Linked DNA regions of Arabidopsis thaliana. The main gene of each other region encodes a partner of the protein of the gene in region 3 in a complex. Each region holds a gene or a part of one and is shown on either strand. Other genes may lie near its edges.

Region 1 (4,414 bases), on a different chromosome or scaffold from region 3:
AATACAGGAAGAGAGAACAAGATAAGTAACTGCTAACCTTATACGCATATATATCTTTTCGGGAAAAAGTGACAAGACAATCCCCAGTTTTAATACTGGAAACTGATGAAACAGGAACCTTCAAAGGGACTAATGGTGAAAGCCTCTCATAGGTATGAACCTGAATTCAAAATAAAAGGGATCAAGAGGTCGTGATTACATCAAGAGTATTGGTATTTAATTATAAACAAGAAATAATTAGAGAAGAAAAAGGGACTCTAGCTCGAATAAACATGATACCTCGACATCATCTCCAGTTACTTTCAGTATATCTTCAACAAGAGGTACGACAGCTGGATCGCCACATAAATGTAGCTCATCAGCCGCGATTCCAAGTAAAGCACGAGTAAATGCAAATCCCCTTTGTTTACATCCCACCATCTGAAATTAGGGAAAGAAAGGATGAGAATAACAAACAAAAAGTTCTTGTCGATTTCTTAAGCCAAAGTCGAGCAAGACTAGCCTGAATTTCGTCAATGATGGCACAATCGTAGACAGATGTAACATCAGCCATTTCAACTGTCACAGCTTTGTGTGTTGCCCCTTCCACTAAGTCTTTCTCTTGTCCCGTGATCAAATCACATGGAACATTTGCTTTGTTTAACCGTTTAGCTACCTCCCATGCCAACAATCTTAACGGACCACAATATACACCTTCAAGTGAAAGAAGCAAATTTTAAACAGTTCAAGAACTGGCTTCCAAAAGGTTTATTAGTCACCTTCAAGGCATACCTGAAGAACTCTGTTCAAGGTGCTTAAGGGCACTATATGTCTTCCCGCTGTTTGTCGGGCCAACATGTAGAATGACCTTACGCTTCTTCTTCCGAGCTATAGGATACCATGTATGAGGACAGCTAGAATTCAAAGTAATGACAGAAATATAAATCAGTTCCTCTTTACTAATCTCTCCACAACAACAATGGAACTGCAAAGAGAATCGCAATTAGTTGCTACTGGGGAGCTAACAAAAAAATTCTACAAGAAGTTTTACTCTTACGTGAGATCAGTGAAATCGAACTTTGAGGTGGTTCCAGTGCCAGTGAAATCAAACTTTGGAGATCCAGAGTTCTTTCTATAATTCCTAGTCAAGACACCTAATCTCAAAAGGTCACCAAACTCAGGTTCAAAGTGAAACCGCCACAAACTTCCTTTATCAGCTGAAACATTAGGCAACACGAAGCCATCATAAGATACAACGTTAAACCAATCCAATCTTCTTCTAGACACTACACAGAAACAGATGTAGAAGCTGCAAAGCTCATAAAGGTTCAAACTTTCTGTATCCAGATGATCAAAATTTCTGATAGTTCCTTTCTAAGATCACTTACAAACTACAATCCGCAATTTCTAACCAAAAGAGAACCAGAAAACAGAGAAAAAAAGGGTTTAAAAGCTCCAACCTTGAAGAACACGAGAAATCCCCAAAGCTGAAACCTTTCGAAGCCGAACAACAGAATACGCCATGTTTAGATTGTTTTATCTATTGAAATGAAGACACAACACTTTCTTATCCTTTATTCACCATGGGAAATACAATTCGAGTATACTCACGACGACACCTTTCATTTGCTTTGAAGGAAGCTCAAAGTTACAGAAATCAAACTCTTGAAATCGAGGACGAGATAAACAATAAAGAGAAATTAAAACCAAATTCTCTTTTATAATTAGAAACTGAAGAAACCATCTCAGACTTCCATTGTTAGACCTTATTCTTCTCAGAGGGTCGGCGACTCAGCAAGAAGCGGGAGAGAGAAGAAAACGAGAGGTTCCTTTTTAATTTACAAATTAACCCCTAAGCTTTTCCTATTACTCTCTCTTACACCCTCCTACTTTAAAAAATAGAAATGTCCCCATAACGTTAATATGTCTAAAATACCCCTGACTATATTCTAGAACTACCAAATCAACCCGTCTTGTTCGCCAAGTCGCTTTGATCTAAAAAGCTCTTAAACTATTCTTCCAGCGACCGGAAGAAACGAATAATCGGAATCGAAAAATTCGAAAAAGGAACTGAGAAGAAACAGATCTGAAGATGGAGTGTGTATTTGGTCTAGTTGGGAATGGATTCGCTATCGTGGCGGCGGATACATCAGCAGTTCACAGTATTCTTCTTCACAAGAACAAAGAGGACAAGATCATGACTCTTGACTCTCACAAGCTCGTCGCCGCTAGTGGTGAGCCTGGTGACCGGTAAAAAAACTTCTCCGTCTCTCTCTCTGTCTGTGATTCAGTAGTAGTAGTACATGAATTTGATTTCTGTTTTTTTTTGGATTTACTTTAGGGTTCAGTTTACGGAGTATGTTCAGAAGAATGTGTCACTGTATCAGTTTCGTAATGGGATTCCTTTGAGTACTGCTGCTGCTGCTAACTTCACTCGTGGAGAACTTGCCACTGCTTTGAGAAAGGTTCTAACTTTTCTTCTACGGTTTTTTATTTTTTTATTTCAGAAGTTTCTCTGCCTTATTTTAGATTTGGGGAATTAGGGTTTTAATCTCTTTGAGGTACATATACTTTTATGAAATAGTGAGATTGTGGGGTATCATCAGATCAGCGATTGGTGCTTAGTGCTTATTCTTGGTTTTTTAGTTTCCTCTTTTGATGCAATGTAGTTGAACTTGTCTTTCTTCTTTAGTTAAACATGTCAATTTTTTTGAAGCTTTCCTCTGTCATACTATGGTTTTGATTGTGTTAAGATGTTTGATGCTTAATACTTGTTGATAAGTTTATATAAGCCTTTGTGTTTCACTTCCTCTTGTATGGTGGTGTAAAACCATTGTTGATACAGGTAGTTCTAATACTTGTTAATATTCATTACCTCAGAGTAGCTAAATGCCATTAGAAACTTTACCTAATGTGTTCATTATGTAGACATAGTGTGGCCTTTAGAAATATTCAAGGTATTTCAGACTATTCTACACATTGTTGCAGTTTTATGTCCTTGGATGTTACAGAAGATTATCTTTGAGTTGGACGAAGTTATGAAATTTAGAATTATGATGCAGAAAAGATGAAACTCGGATTACAGCTTAATAGTTTTCTTATGCCAAGCTTGATAAGTAATATTATTTCATTAACTAAGAATTTACAAGACTAGGAATTTTGTGCTACCTTCCAAGGTTACTCTGACTTCTGTGTCTTGATGGTGAAAATCTGATACTCAAGGCTAACTGATGTGTGATCATTTTTACCGGTTTAGGGTAGATCTTCCAACTTTGGACAGTGTTGAGTGGGGTTTATACCCATGTAGCCTTAGCTATAGATTGTTAAATGATCTGATTGATTCCCTGGATTTTTTTGGGTTGTTTAGGACTGGTCTGCATATTCGCACTTGACATTTTGAGATTTCCCATTGTTGTCTGTTCTATTTGATTCCAGAATCCATATTCGGTGAACATCCTGATGGCTGGCTATGACAAAGAAGCCGGCGCATCTCTATACTACATTGACTACATTGCAACCCTCCACAAGGTTGATAAGGGAGCATTTGGATACGGCTCATACTTCTCTCTCTCTACAATGGACAGACACTACCGCAGCGACATGTCTGTTGAAGAAGCCATTGAATTGGTGGACAAATGCATACTCGAGATCAGGTCAAGGCTGGTCATTGCACCACCAAACTTTGTTATCAAGATTGTTGACAAGGACGGAGCCCGTGAGTACGGATGGCGTATCAGCACTGCTGATGCCTAAGTTGTTTTCATTGTGTTTATTAGTCCATTTATGTTACTCGGCTCACATTTATATTCTCTGTTGAACTTCAAGCTCCCTGGATATTAAAGTTCCTAGATAATGATGATGATATGCATGTGTTGAACTTTTTCTTTCCTTATTGCGTATATGAAGCAAAAGATAGTGCAATGTAAACCTAAACATCTTCTTCTACTATATCATCTCTATTCTCTGCGTTTCTACATAGGGAAGACTTTAACACAAGCCCAATGGTAAAATCTTAAGTATCAATGAAGTAAACATAAGCAGTAAAAAGCACAGAGAGCTTAAAACAGTTCAGATACGAGCGAGAATAGAAGTGGCAAAAGTCATGATGATAGTCGATGGAAACCAGAAGTTTCTGATCTTGAGAGAGTCGCTTGAGAAGTATTGTAGAACTGGTAGTGGTGGTGGTGGTGGTGGTGGTGCTAGGGTGGCTGTTTCCGGTGAGAATAGATCGGAGCTTGGTGAAACTTCCGGTGCTAAGTCGACTGATTGAGGAGAGGCAGAAACATTATTACCTGCAGAATATGAATGAATGAAGCAAGTTACATGTCAACGAAACTTAAAACAGAATCCACCGGAATAATCCGTTTCTTACCGGAAACAAACGGATTTGTGAACTGAATACTCTGAAGCGGAGGAAGCTCCGGCGACTCTGCAC
Region 2 (5,192 bases), 8.7 Mb from region 3:
CCGAAGCTGCACGAGGACTGTTCTCACGATTTGTCAAGAGATGGAACAGAGGAAAACTCGAGTCTCGATACTACGAGGGAATCTCCACTGCCCCACGAACAGCTCACGACTGGATGATCAAGCGTAGGTGAAAAAAAGCAAAAGCAATACCTTCCTCTTCTGTGGTTCGCCGGTTACCTCTCTTCTTGCTTCTTGTACACGTGAAGGTTGATTGCATCAGAGATATATTTCTATGTAGTTTCTCTACTTAGAACTTCTTGTTGCTGAACTAGTTAGATAGATTGTCGTGGAGAGATATGTAGTCGGTTTTCAGAGTAAGACAAACTTTACATATCCAAGGTCTTAACCAAAGTTGCCGAAGAACTATCTGATGAATCCTTATGTAACATTGAGAATTTGATATCCGGTTAAGGGAGAAATAGACCGTTTTGATTGAAAGTTGGTCTTGTACAGTATGTAAGTTCCTACTGGCATTTACAACACAGCGTATATGTAGCTTTGGCTAAGTAATTTGTGTGCATGAAACTTGGTTATATGAAACTGAATTTTCACAACAGACGTTTAAATGAGTGAAAAAACATATTCTAAATTATTGGGTCACGAGTCTCCTTAACAAATTCCAAAAGTTTTACAAAAGCAAGAACCATCAACTCTGAGAGTATACTGAGATTCAAATCAGGTTGGTTGCACGGTTAAGTGAAAGTTTTACTCGACTTCAGCCAAGTAATCATCGATTTCTGCTGGTGTTAGCACCCTGCATATAACATTCACTTTTCAGATATTGATGGGAATAACAAGATTTTTTGTTTATATTAGTTTTGTAGTCTTGAATGTTTACCTGAAAACTTTGTCAGTACCGATTTTGCCAATCTCGATGTTTTTGCTTGAGATTTCTCCCTCGAAACTGTGAAAAGACACGGAGGTTATAGGCTTTTGAGAAATTCTGAACTCTGGAAATAAAGTAAATTAAGTTTTGGTAAAAATGCTCACCCTTCCTTCAATGTCAATATTGCCGTGTGAATGGCATCATCAAGTTCCATATCTTCTGTGTACCTGATCAAAGACTAAGATGAAATGACATGCTTCCAAGATCATAAACTCATCACCACAAATGGTAAATTATTATCACCTCTTCTCAAGAAACGTCTTTGCATTCGAAACATTCTTTCCCATTGCAGAAGCTTTCCATGAGAAATAAGAGCCAGATGGATCCACCTAGTGGCCAATGAAAATTATGAAATAAGATGTTTTCAGTTTACGGGTTTTACTTCACTTTGAGCAGGATGGTTATATTTTCTTTAAAGTTCTACTTACTTGATACAGTTGTGGACCCTTGTCATCATACCCAGCCACCAGTAGAGAAACTCCAAACGGCCTAACACCACTATTAACAGCAGAAGGAGACAGAGATTAGAAGCAAGATTCAGTAGTCTAGTTTGCAAATACAGATTTGCATTAACAACATTATCTCACGCCAAATCAATATCAAAACTGAGCTAAAAAGTGCATAGAGAGACTCGCTCTAGAGTTGCAATCTCTGAGCCAATAACACTTTTGAACCCTGTTGAGCATATGAGAGGAAGTAATTACATAACACTCGATATAGTACTTACCCCGATTGAGTGAACTCTTGCATCACCGTGGCAGTTTCCCTTACAAGTTGAGTAACGGGGATGGGTTCCTGCAACAATAAACGCCCTTAGAAGTTGAATCAACAGAGCGATCTGGATTTATGAATAAGCAAGAACTTATATCAACTGGAATCATCAATCCAAAGTTTTTATCATACATGTACTACTAGACACTCCAGGAAAAGAAGACAAAAAAACAGAAGATATTAAAGATTACCTTGTACAGACGGAGATATTGCTCAGCCTGCTTCCTACTCTTTCGCACAAGAACTCGGAAATCAGGACCCATACCACTACATAAAAGGCAATACCAAAGTTAGCACTGAAATCATTAGGGTACTAAGGGAAAGGTTCCATCAGTAGCACTAGCACCTGATGAGAGAGACTAAGTACCCAAAACAAAATAAAAAATGTATGATAAATCCAATTTGCAAGCTATAAAACCAAATTCGCTATTAAAAAAGAAGTATGGATAGCTGAAGAGAAGAACCTGTAAACAGTTCCAATGTTGGGAGTCAAATGTTGAATCTTTTGAACCTGAAACAGACAATAGATAAACATTAGTTTCGTAGGAGTTACTGAAACTATGCAACCGAAAGGAAAGTAACACGAGCAGGCACAGAATGAAAAAGAACTAATTGCTATAAAGAGTTGATCAAACTTACAGACGCTTCATCAACCAATATAGAAGGAAGTTTCTTTTCAGTTGCAATGACAACTCCATTTGAAGCTGCATAAAGAAAACAACAGTCATGATTACCAAAGACAATGTTCCTTAAAAATCTCCTCTCGAATTTGATTAGATCATTGAAAAAACCTTTAATTCCAAGTGATGTTTGGCCTGATCCAACAGCTGTTAGGGCATGTTCTATCTGAACCAGCTTCCCTGATGGGCTGTTTCATAAACCACAACATGAATCAAACCCCGAAGAAACCGTTCCAAATGCTCAGAAAGAGATAACATTGATATGATAAACAAAGTTAATACCTGAAGGTGGTGAGAGAAAACGAGTACTGACTGTCCCCCATTGAAAACCAACTAAATCAAGCTGCAAAAAATGCGAAATAGTGTCATCTCTGGAAATTTAGAAACGTGGAAGCTAAATCTGTTCTTCATCAACAATGTTCAAACTTAAATGAAAAGAAACCACGTCTGAGCAAGTAAGTAGACTGAAGCGTTCAAATCTGACAAAGCTTAAAAACCCGGAAGAGTCTCATCGCCATGGGCAATGTGTAAGGAAAACGATGAAAAAGACAAGATATACCAACCCTAATTAAGAATTGTGAGTGAATCAAATCAAACACAAACTCAAACTCAAAGATCAGCTCTTAGCTCAAACTCAGAGACGAAAATTGAAAACTTTTCTTAAACCCCAAATTCAATATATTTAAAGTTATCAATTTAAATTCAACAAAAGAAACCCATTCAATCAAAGCAACATACCTTTGATATATGGATCGAACGGAATGGTCGCAAGAGAAGAGAGAGAGAAGAGACCCAAGTGAAGAATTTTTAAGCTCTCAAGGTTTCTTGCACAAAGGGTGAGAGTCTGACGCCAGAAAACGAGAGAAACAAAAAAACCAAAACGGCGGCGTTTTAACAACTTCACAGTTACTGTATCTTACATAATAGTCCAATATTTTATATCTCTTTTCAGTTTGAACCACATTATTTATTTACTACCCCTAGTCCCCTACTCTCTCTCGCTTCCACGCCCGACTCGGACTCAAACCTGGTCCGAATTGGCTGTGTCTCTCTCCATCGCCTCCTTCTTCTCTGACAAACTCTCCTCCGTTGGTCGGAGTTTGTTTCTTCGCTCGTTCATCACAAGCTTCGTGTACTGGTAATTGTTCCATTTTTTCTAGCTATTTCGGAAAATTGGATGGAAGAAGCATCTGAAATACGCGTGTAAATGTCGCTGATTGTGTCGTTGAGGCAGAGCCATTGTTGATTCTTAGAGAAAATTTGCTCCTTTATTTCTCCAGTTTGTTAAACTCTCGATTACGCCCTTGAAATGCATTCGACCGGGAAGAGAAATTTCTTAGCTGTTATCAGATTATTGTTTACTAGTTCGAGCTTGGTCAGAAAGGCTGGTTGTAGAAATCTCATTTCTGCTACCTTTACCACCAGGTGTTCGACGTTATGCCTGAATGAATCTGAAGAATGCATTGAGGATTCTGATCTATCGTCTAGGAGAAAAAAATTTGATTATGTTGGAGAAGTTGGTGAAAAAGAGAAAGTGAGAGATATTACTAGTAGTCCTTTACAAGTTTTACGAAGATGGGGTTGTGATGATGATGAAATATCCAAGCTTTTTACTCGTAGGCCTGCTTTGCAGAGAGCCAATGTTGCTCAGTTAGAGTTTAAGTTAAGCCTTCTTAAGCCACTGGGAATCACGTCTTCAGACCTTGTGAAGATTCTTAACTGTCGTCCTAGGTTCTTTAGTTGCCGTCTTGTCCTTGATGAAAGGATCAACTACTTCATGGAGATTTTGGGGTCAAAAGAGGTGTTGCGCAGAGTCATTATCCGGAATCCGTCACTCATGTTGTATGACCTCGATGACAAGATCAAACCCGCGATAGAATACTACAAAGGGTTGGGCTTTAGCCAACAGGATCTTGTCGCAATGTTGATATCGCGACCCACGTTGATTCCAAGAACAAACTTTAACAATGAGAAGTTTGAATACATTGAGAAAACTGGAGTCACCAGAGAATCCAAGATGTTTAAATATGTTGCAGTCATCATCGGGGTCTCGAGGATGGAGACAATCGAAGAGAAAGTTAGAAACTTGGAAAAGTTTGGGTTCTCGGAAGAAGAGATTTGGCACCTGTATGGAAAATGCCCAATCCTTCTCTCTCTCTCTGTTGAGAAAGTTCAGAGAAACATGACTTTCGTCATAGCCTCGATGAAACTTCCAGCTCATTCCGTGGTTAAGCACCCTTGTTTGCTTCTCCTCAACCTCGAGTCTCGTCTAAAACCTCGTGCGGATCTCGTTAAGAGAGTCTTGGAAATGCGTCTAAAGCCATTGATAAAAGAAGTGAGCATTTTCAGAGCGGTAAGGATGAGCGAGAAACGGTTCTTGAAGGTTTATGTAATGTGTCATCCACAAGATATTGCAACCGAGCTGATGGAGTTTTACGAGAAATCCAAAAACATGAAACGTTTAGCTGAGAAATCCAAGAAATACATCCGTAAAGGATTCCCCTTTTGAATCTCTTTTTCATCTTTTGTTTCTTTGGATATGTTCATTAAAGATGTAACATTGTGTAGAATTTTCCAGCTTTATCAATGGATACTTTTGAATCGGTTCATGTTTTGGTTTAGATCAGATTAGTTAAACCGGAATAGAAAAATATCAAAACACAAAACGCGAAGAAGCACGTTTGGTGAAACGAAACGCCAAAGACGCCCTAGACGTGTCTCTCTTCCAGACCCGTTCGTGGCGGCAGTGACAAAATCCTCTTTATTGATAAAAACGTTTGCAAAGTTGCAACCTTTTTGGGTTTAGTACTTGAAGAGAATCAATCTGACAGCAAATAGTTTTGGCGTCTTTCTAA
Region 3 (5,178 bases):
AATTCCATCTATGCTAACTAAAGATAAAGTTTCCATGTGATAATAATATCCGACAAACTTTACTAGTAAAACTAATTCTACACGACCTTTTAGATGTGCACTTTTGAACTTAACTTATATCAAACAAAATAAACTTGAAATATACCTCAGGTTGTATATTTTCAATGAGCTTCTTTCCCGAACTTTCATTGCTACCTAGAACAGGCTGAACAATATCCCTGTTCGTTTTGGCCACTAGGGTCACTGGCTTTGAAGTCATTTCTGTCTTTGGCTTTTGTATTTTCTTATCTAAACCTGATGTTTTGAGTAATTCTTGTGCAGTGCTTTGCATTGCTCCAGTGGCTTTCTCAATGATTTCCTGCTCAAAATTCAAAAAGTTAAGTATTTGTGAAGCATTTAAAATTAACCTGGCAAAAATGCAGCAAAGAAGCATATGAAAATATTACTTTCTCGAGCAAAGATTTGATATCGGCATATTGCTTCTTAAGTTCCTGGCTCTCAGGCTCCAATCTTAAGGCAAACTCAGCATCTGCGAATAATTTTAATCACCTTACATATGCAGCAACATGTAATAAAGAAATTGTATGTATCTTAACAGAACAGAATGAATGATTATATGGGTGCGAGGGATACCTTCTTTGGCTTCTTTAATCATGCCGAGTTCTTTTCTTGCTGTTGCTCGGCGTGAGTAAGCTTTTATATATCGATCATCCAGATTTAAAGCTTCTGTGCAGTCAACCTCAGCCTCTCGATATCTAATGTAAGAATCATTTTACAAAGTCAGAAAATATAGCTTAAAGAGGATCAGGTAATGGAAGACAAGTGGACACACACAAGAGTCACAGTGATGAATGAATAAAACCAATGAAACAGACAATGAGCAAACCTTTTGATTTTAAGGTAAGCCATTGCTCGATTTGCATAAGTCACAGCATTTGGCGATAAAGCAATGCTCCGAGAGTAACAATCAATCGCCTCATTGAACTTCTTCTGCTTGAAGAATTCATTACCCTGTATTCCAAGAGAGGTCCATGAGAAAGATTGCATCACGAGAATATCACATAACAAAAACAAAGCTTGAAGAAGAGAAAGTACCTGCTCCTTCTCTGAACTAGAATCCAATAGACTTTCTCCAATCAAACTACTCGACAAATCCCTAATGGAACGATACTTTTTAGCAAAGTCATATTTCCCTGACCCACTTGGTCTGAACGTCTCACTACTCTGAAAGTTCAAAACAAGGAATCTCATAAGGATGCATTAAGTTTTACAAATGAGAGCACTTCTGTATATACACAAAAGAACGAACCGGATTCGACGAATTAGCAGGTTGTTGCTTAATCTTCTTGTCTTTATCCTTCAATGAGAGTTCCCAATCCTGCAAGTCATTGAAAAATCCCTGGAAATCCTGGAAAAAAAAATTCGAAACCAAACGATGCAAGTAAACATCTAATTCGTTCTTAGTCTATATACATAATCGATTGTACAACAGTTCGTTGAACTAACAATCTCCATGAAATCTAGATAACGAAGTGGAGATAAGGAGCACGAGTCGTTTCGATTTTTTTCCTTTTTCATTCTCGAGTAAACAGAGATTTTAGCTAGAGAAGATTCATGTAAGAAAGATGAATCGAGTAGAAATGGTTACCTGAGTTTGATCGCGGCCGTGTTTGCTCGGTGACCTAGCCATTCTGAGAGAGATTCTCCGGCGAGCAAATAGTCGACGAGAAAGAGCAAAGATGATTCTAGAAGAAGACTGAGAAAGTCACAGAGTTCAATTTTGAACTACAGTATTGGACTTGGGCTTTCCGATATTTGAGTAATGTCGGGTGGGGTCATGTCAGTAACCGGGTTAAATCGATAATATTGGTTGAGATCGGGTAGGTCGGGTCAAATCGAGAATAAACCGGCCCGTTTGACACCTCTACGTGTGAAACTGAGTCAGGTCGGGTCAGGTAAAGAACCGTATTAAACCAATAAATTGATATTAGTGTGTGAGATCAAATCGGATCGGGTGAATAACCAGGTTAAACCGGTAAACACCGGGTCAGGCCCGATTCGCTATGTTTCTTGAGCGAAAGGAAATCACAGAAGTCTTTTTAGTGAGGTAAACAAAACCAAAACCATCAGATCTTAAGAAGAAGAACCTAAAGCTCACTACGATATTTTTCGAGAATATGACGACTGTAAGTCAGATCAATCTCGTCTTCAATGTTCTTATTACTATCTCTGCTTCTGATCCTTCTAGGTTTGATTTCGTTTTCCTGATTTTGATTTTGTTTCTTCTTCTGAGCAGTTTTCTGTTCCGATTGATAACGGAGATTCTATGAAGATCGCAGAAGAAGAATCACAAAGAACACTGTAAAAATCTCTTACTCTTATGCTTATGTAGGGTTTTCGATTTTGAGAAAATTTGGGATTCGATTTTGAATTTATTAGGGTTTTGTTTTGGTTTTTTGTTTAGGTACCCATATGTTACTGGAACTTCAATTGTTGCAATCAAGTACAAAGATGGGGTTTTGATGGCTTCTGATATGGGAGGTATGTCTCAGCTCCTAGTTTCAGCTCTTTATTTGGTTAAGTATTTGTATTGGTTTAATGTATGCACAAATTTTTGCAATGTATGTTTAGATTTACATCTGTTATAAGCTTGATTGCTTGAATCGTTTGTTTTGCCTCTCTTGGTGTTTGTTTGGTTAAATCTGTTTCTTTTTCTCTGTGAGAGATCATCACAAGTCAGTGAATAGATCATGTGTTTCAGATATGCTCGTTTCATGCGTATGAATCCTTCAAATTTCATTTCTCTAGTGTCTTTTCTGCTACATTTTTAAGTATGGTTTGATTCTTTTGGTCAAATTTGATTTTTGCATCTTTATAGACGATTCAGTGAATTAGGGTCAAACACTATTATGCAGAACAGGTTTTGTTATGTCTATTAGCTGCTTGATTGATAATAATATGTATTTTGGGCTAAACATATAGACAAGCAATTGCTTTTTGTTTTTTATGAGATTAGTTTCACATCCCCCTTGCATTTGTTTTCTTAGCTACGTTATCTTTCCAACATAGAATGTTACAGTTCTTTGGTTGTTCCTGTTTCGTCTCTTTAATATTGTTAGATTTAGGGTAAACTAAGAATTGAGGCTTCTTTTATGAATGATCCAGAGAATAATGTTGAAAAGTCTTGACTGTTTCTAGATCTTTTTGCTTTTGTTTCGGTTCCCTGTGTGCCATCCATTGTTAATTAGGTCAAGAGATGACAACTGAGAATTAACGTTACAACCATCAACCAGTACTTAGCTATGTTCATTGAAATAGTTTGATTTCTCATATCTTAACACCGACTCACAATAAGTAAGAGCTGTCATTTGTTTGTACGGTTAATAATTTTGATGGTATATCTATGTAGCTTGGATTATTCTTTTATGTTCTAATGGTGTGATCCTGGTTTCCTGGGACTTATGCACCAGGGAAATTACGATATTGTGCCATCAACTCACTTTCAAATTTTTGCATGCAGGTTCATATGGATCAACCTTAAGATACAAGAACATCGAGAGAGTGAAGGCTATTGGTAAGCATTCTCTTCTTGGTGCCAGCGGAGAAATCAGCGACTTTCAGGAGATTCTCCGTTATCTTGATGAGCTCACGTAAGAATCCGTTTGGTTCAATTTTTTTATATTTTAATCTTTCCTTGTCAATTATCAAGCCTCACAAGCCCTTGGTTTTACACAGCCTGAATGATAACATGTGGGATGATGGTAACTCTTTGGGACCAAAAGAGATTCACAACTATCTGACCCGTGTGATGTACAACCGTCGCAACAAGTTTAACCCTCTGTGGAACACTCTCGTCCTTGGAGGCGTCAAAAATGGGAAAAGTTACCTTGGAATGGTACGTCTCAGTCTTTCAAGTCACATATATAAAATTTTCTTATGAATGTAACTATTGATTTGGATCCATTTGCTTCTCTCTAGGTGTCAATGATTGGTGTTAGTTTTGAGGACGATCATGTTGCCACTGGATTTGGAAACCACCTTGCTAGGCCAATTCTTCGTGATGAGTGGCATGCAGACCTGAGTTTTGAAGATGGTGTCAAGCTACTTGAGAAATGTATGCGTGTGCTTCTTTACCGTGACAGATCTGCTATTAACAAGCTTCAGGTTTGTCTCTAATAACAAGTTTTGTTTACCGTTATCTCATCTCGTATAATCTTTGTTTAGTTTGGTAGAAGTTCTTCATAAGGATTGTAATAACAGAAAATATGAAAACTGTGCAGATAGCGAAGATCACGGAAGAGGGCGTGACGGTCTCACAGCCATACTCATTGAAGACATACTGGGAATTCTCGTCATTCCACAACCCAACTGCTGGTGCTGCAGGCTCCTGGTAAGAAGCCAAGCAACCACATCGGCTGGCGATCTTTTAAGGAAGCTTTTATTTTATTTTATGTGATGTTGTTAAACACTTTGTACTGTAGTTGTTTTACTATTAAACTTGGTGGTTTCTTTCTGACAGTCCAGAGTTTAGATCAATGAGGATTTATAAAAAGTACTGGATATCTTTGGGTAGTAATCCATACCTTTGTTCATTGTTGATCGTTCTCCATCGCTTTTTGGTCTCCTTTCTCTTTTCTCATTTTAAGTGAAGTTGACACAATTTGCACACAAATTCATAAAATTAATAAATCATCTATTGGAACCTACTCTCTCATTATTTATTAATCATAATTATTTCAGTAAATTCTTAACAAGTAAAGTATTAACAACTCCATTTCGTGATATGCATTATTCATCTCCTAATTGAATCCAAATTCCAAAAGTACAAATTCCATCAGGTTATTATCTAGTCAAATAGGTTTTTAAGAGCATCTCCATTAGAAATTCAAAGAGTTTTCCAAACAAACAAAAAAATAAAGTTTTATTATATGATTAATTTTTTTTATTTTAGTTAAAAACTGAACTAATGATAAAGAGAGAAATGTCATGATGAGTTGTAGAGAGTATCTCATAGTTTCTCAAGTGAGAAACTTTCTACCTTCTTTCTCTTTCATTTTTAATATTTTTATTTTTTTAGTTGTGAAAAACTCTTGTGAAAAACTTCTAATGGAAATGGTCTAATAGTTACAAGATCTATTAAATTCATAGGGTGAGTAGTTTTCTTGAACTTGTAAACGT

Evidence for each region. Proteins that work in one complex are often made in the same cells at the same time.
Region 1: PBG1 (region 3) and PBD2 share a complex: the UniProt entries of both Arabidopsis thaliana proteins name them as parts of the 20S core complex.
Region 2: PBG1 (region 3) and AT1G79210 share a complex: the UniProt entries of both Arabidopsis thaliana proteins name them as parts of the 20S core complex.

What each region holds. Positions count from the first base shown.
Region 1 is NC_003075.7:8,498,327-8,502,740, forward strand, and holds PBD2 (20S proteasome beta subunit D2), read left to right. Parts: upstream 1-1,939; 5' UTR 1,940-2,071; coding exon 2,072-2,229; intron 2,230-2,320; coding exon 2,321-2,444; intron 2,445-3,133; coding exon 3,134-3,181; intron 3,182-3,414; coding exon 3,415-3,732; 3' UTR 3,733-3,914; downstream 3,915-4,414. Other genes in the region: ATSUV3 (ATP-dependent RNA helicase), read right to left, coding at 38-160, 280-420, 503-693, 772-893, 1,037-1,196, 1,440-1,503; AT4G14805 (Bifunctional inhibitor/lipid-transfer protein/seed storage 2S albumin superfamily protein), read right to left, coding at 4,048-4,271, 4,352-4,408. UniProt on the Arabidopsis thaliana protein: Non-catalytic component of the proteasome, a multicatalytic proteinase complex which is characterized by its ability to cleave peptides with Arg, Phe, Tyr, Leu, and Glu adjacent to the leaving group at neutral or slightly basic pH.
Region 2 is NC_003070.9:29,795,581-29,800,772, forward strand, and holds AT1G79210 (N-terminal nucleophile aminohydrolases (Ntn hydrolases) superfamily protein), read right to left. Parts: upstream 3,257-5,192; 5' UTR 3,076-3,256; intron 2,738-3,075; exon of another isoform or gene 2,681-2,737; 5' UTR 2,661-2,680; coding exon 2,620-2,660; intron 2,526-2,619; coding exon 2,449-2,525; intron 2,362-2,448; coding exon 2,297-2,361; intron 2,169-2,296; coding exon 2,122-2,168; intron 1,925-2,121; coding exon 1,849-1,924; intron 1,682-1,848; coding exon 1,614-1,681; intron 1,385-1,613; coding exon 1,315-1,384; intron 1,216-1,314; coding exon 1,130-1,215; intron 1,054-1,129; coding exon 991-1,053; intron 905-990; coding exon 839-904; intron 755-838; coding exon 706-754; 3' UTR 501-705; downstream 1-500. Other genes in the region: SCI1 (splicing regulatory glutamine/lysine-rich-like protein), read left to right, coding at 1-131; AT1G79220 (Mitochondrial transcription termination factor family protein), read left to right, coding at 3,647-4,846. UniProt on the Arabidopsis thaliana protein: The proteasome is a multicatalytic proteinase complex which is characterized by its ability to cleave peptides with Arg, Phe, Tyr, Leu, and Glu adjacent to the leaving group at neutral or slightly basic pH.
Region 3 is NC_003070.9:21,139,793-21,144,970, forward strand, and holds PBG1 (20S proteasome beta subunit G1), read left to right. Parts: upstream 1-1,840; 5' UTR 1,841-2,177; coding exon 2,178-2,186; intron 2,187-2,296; coding exon 2,297-2,361; intron 2,362-2,464; coding exon 2,465-2,541; intron 2,542-3,520; coding exon 3,521-3,650; intron 3,651-3,735; coding exon 3,736-3,895; intron 3,896-3,978; coding exon 3,979-4,164; intron 4,165-4,280; coding exon 4,281-4,394; 3' UTR 4,395-4,666; downstream 4,667-5,178. Other genes in the region: TPR5 (Tetratricopeptide repeat (TPR)-like superfamily protein), read right to left, coding at 146-358, 447-529, 634-755, 887-1,011, 1,096-1,224, 1,310-1,408, 1,649-1,690. UniProt on the Arabidopsis thaliana protein: Non-catalytic component of the proteasome, a multicatalytic proteinase complex which is characterized by its ability to cleave peptides with Arg, Phe, Tyr, Leu, and Glu adjacent to the leaving group at neutral or slightly basic pH.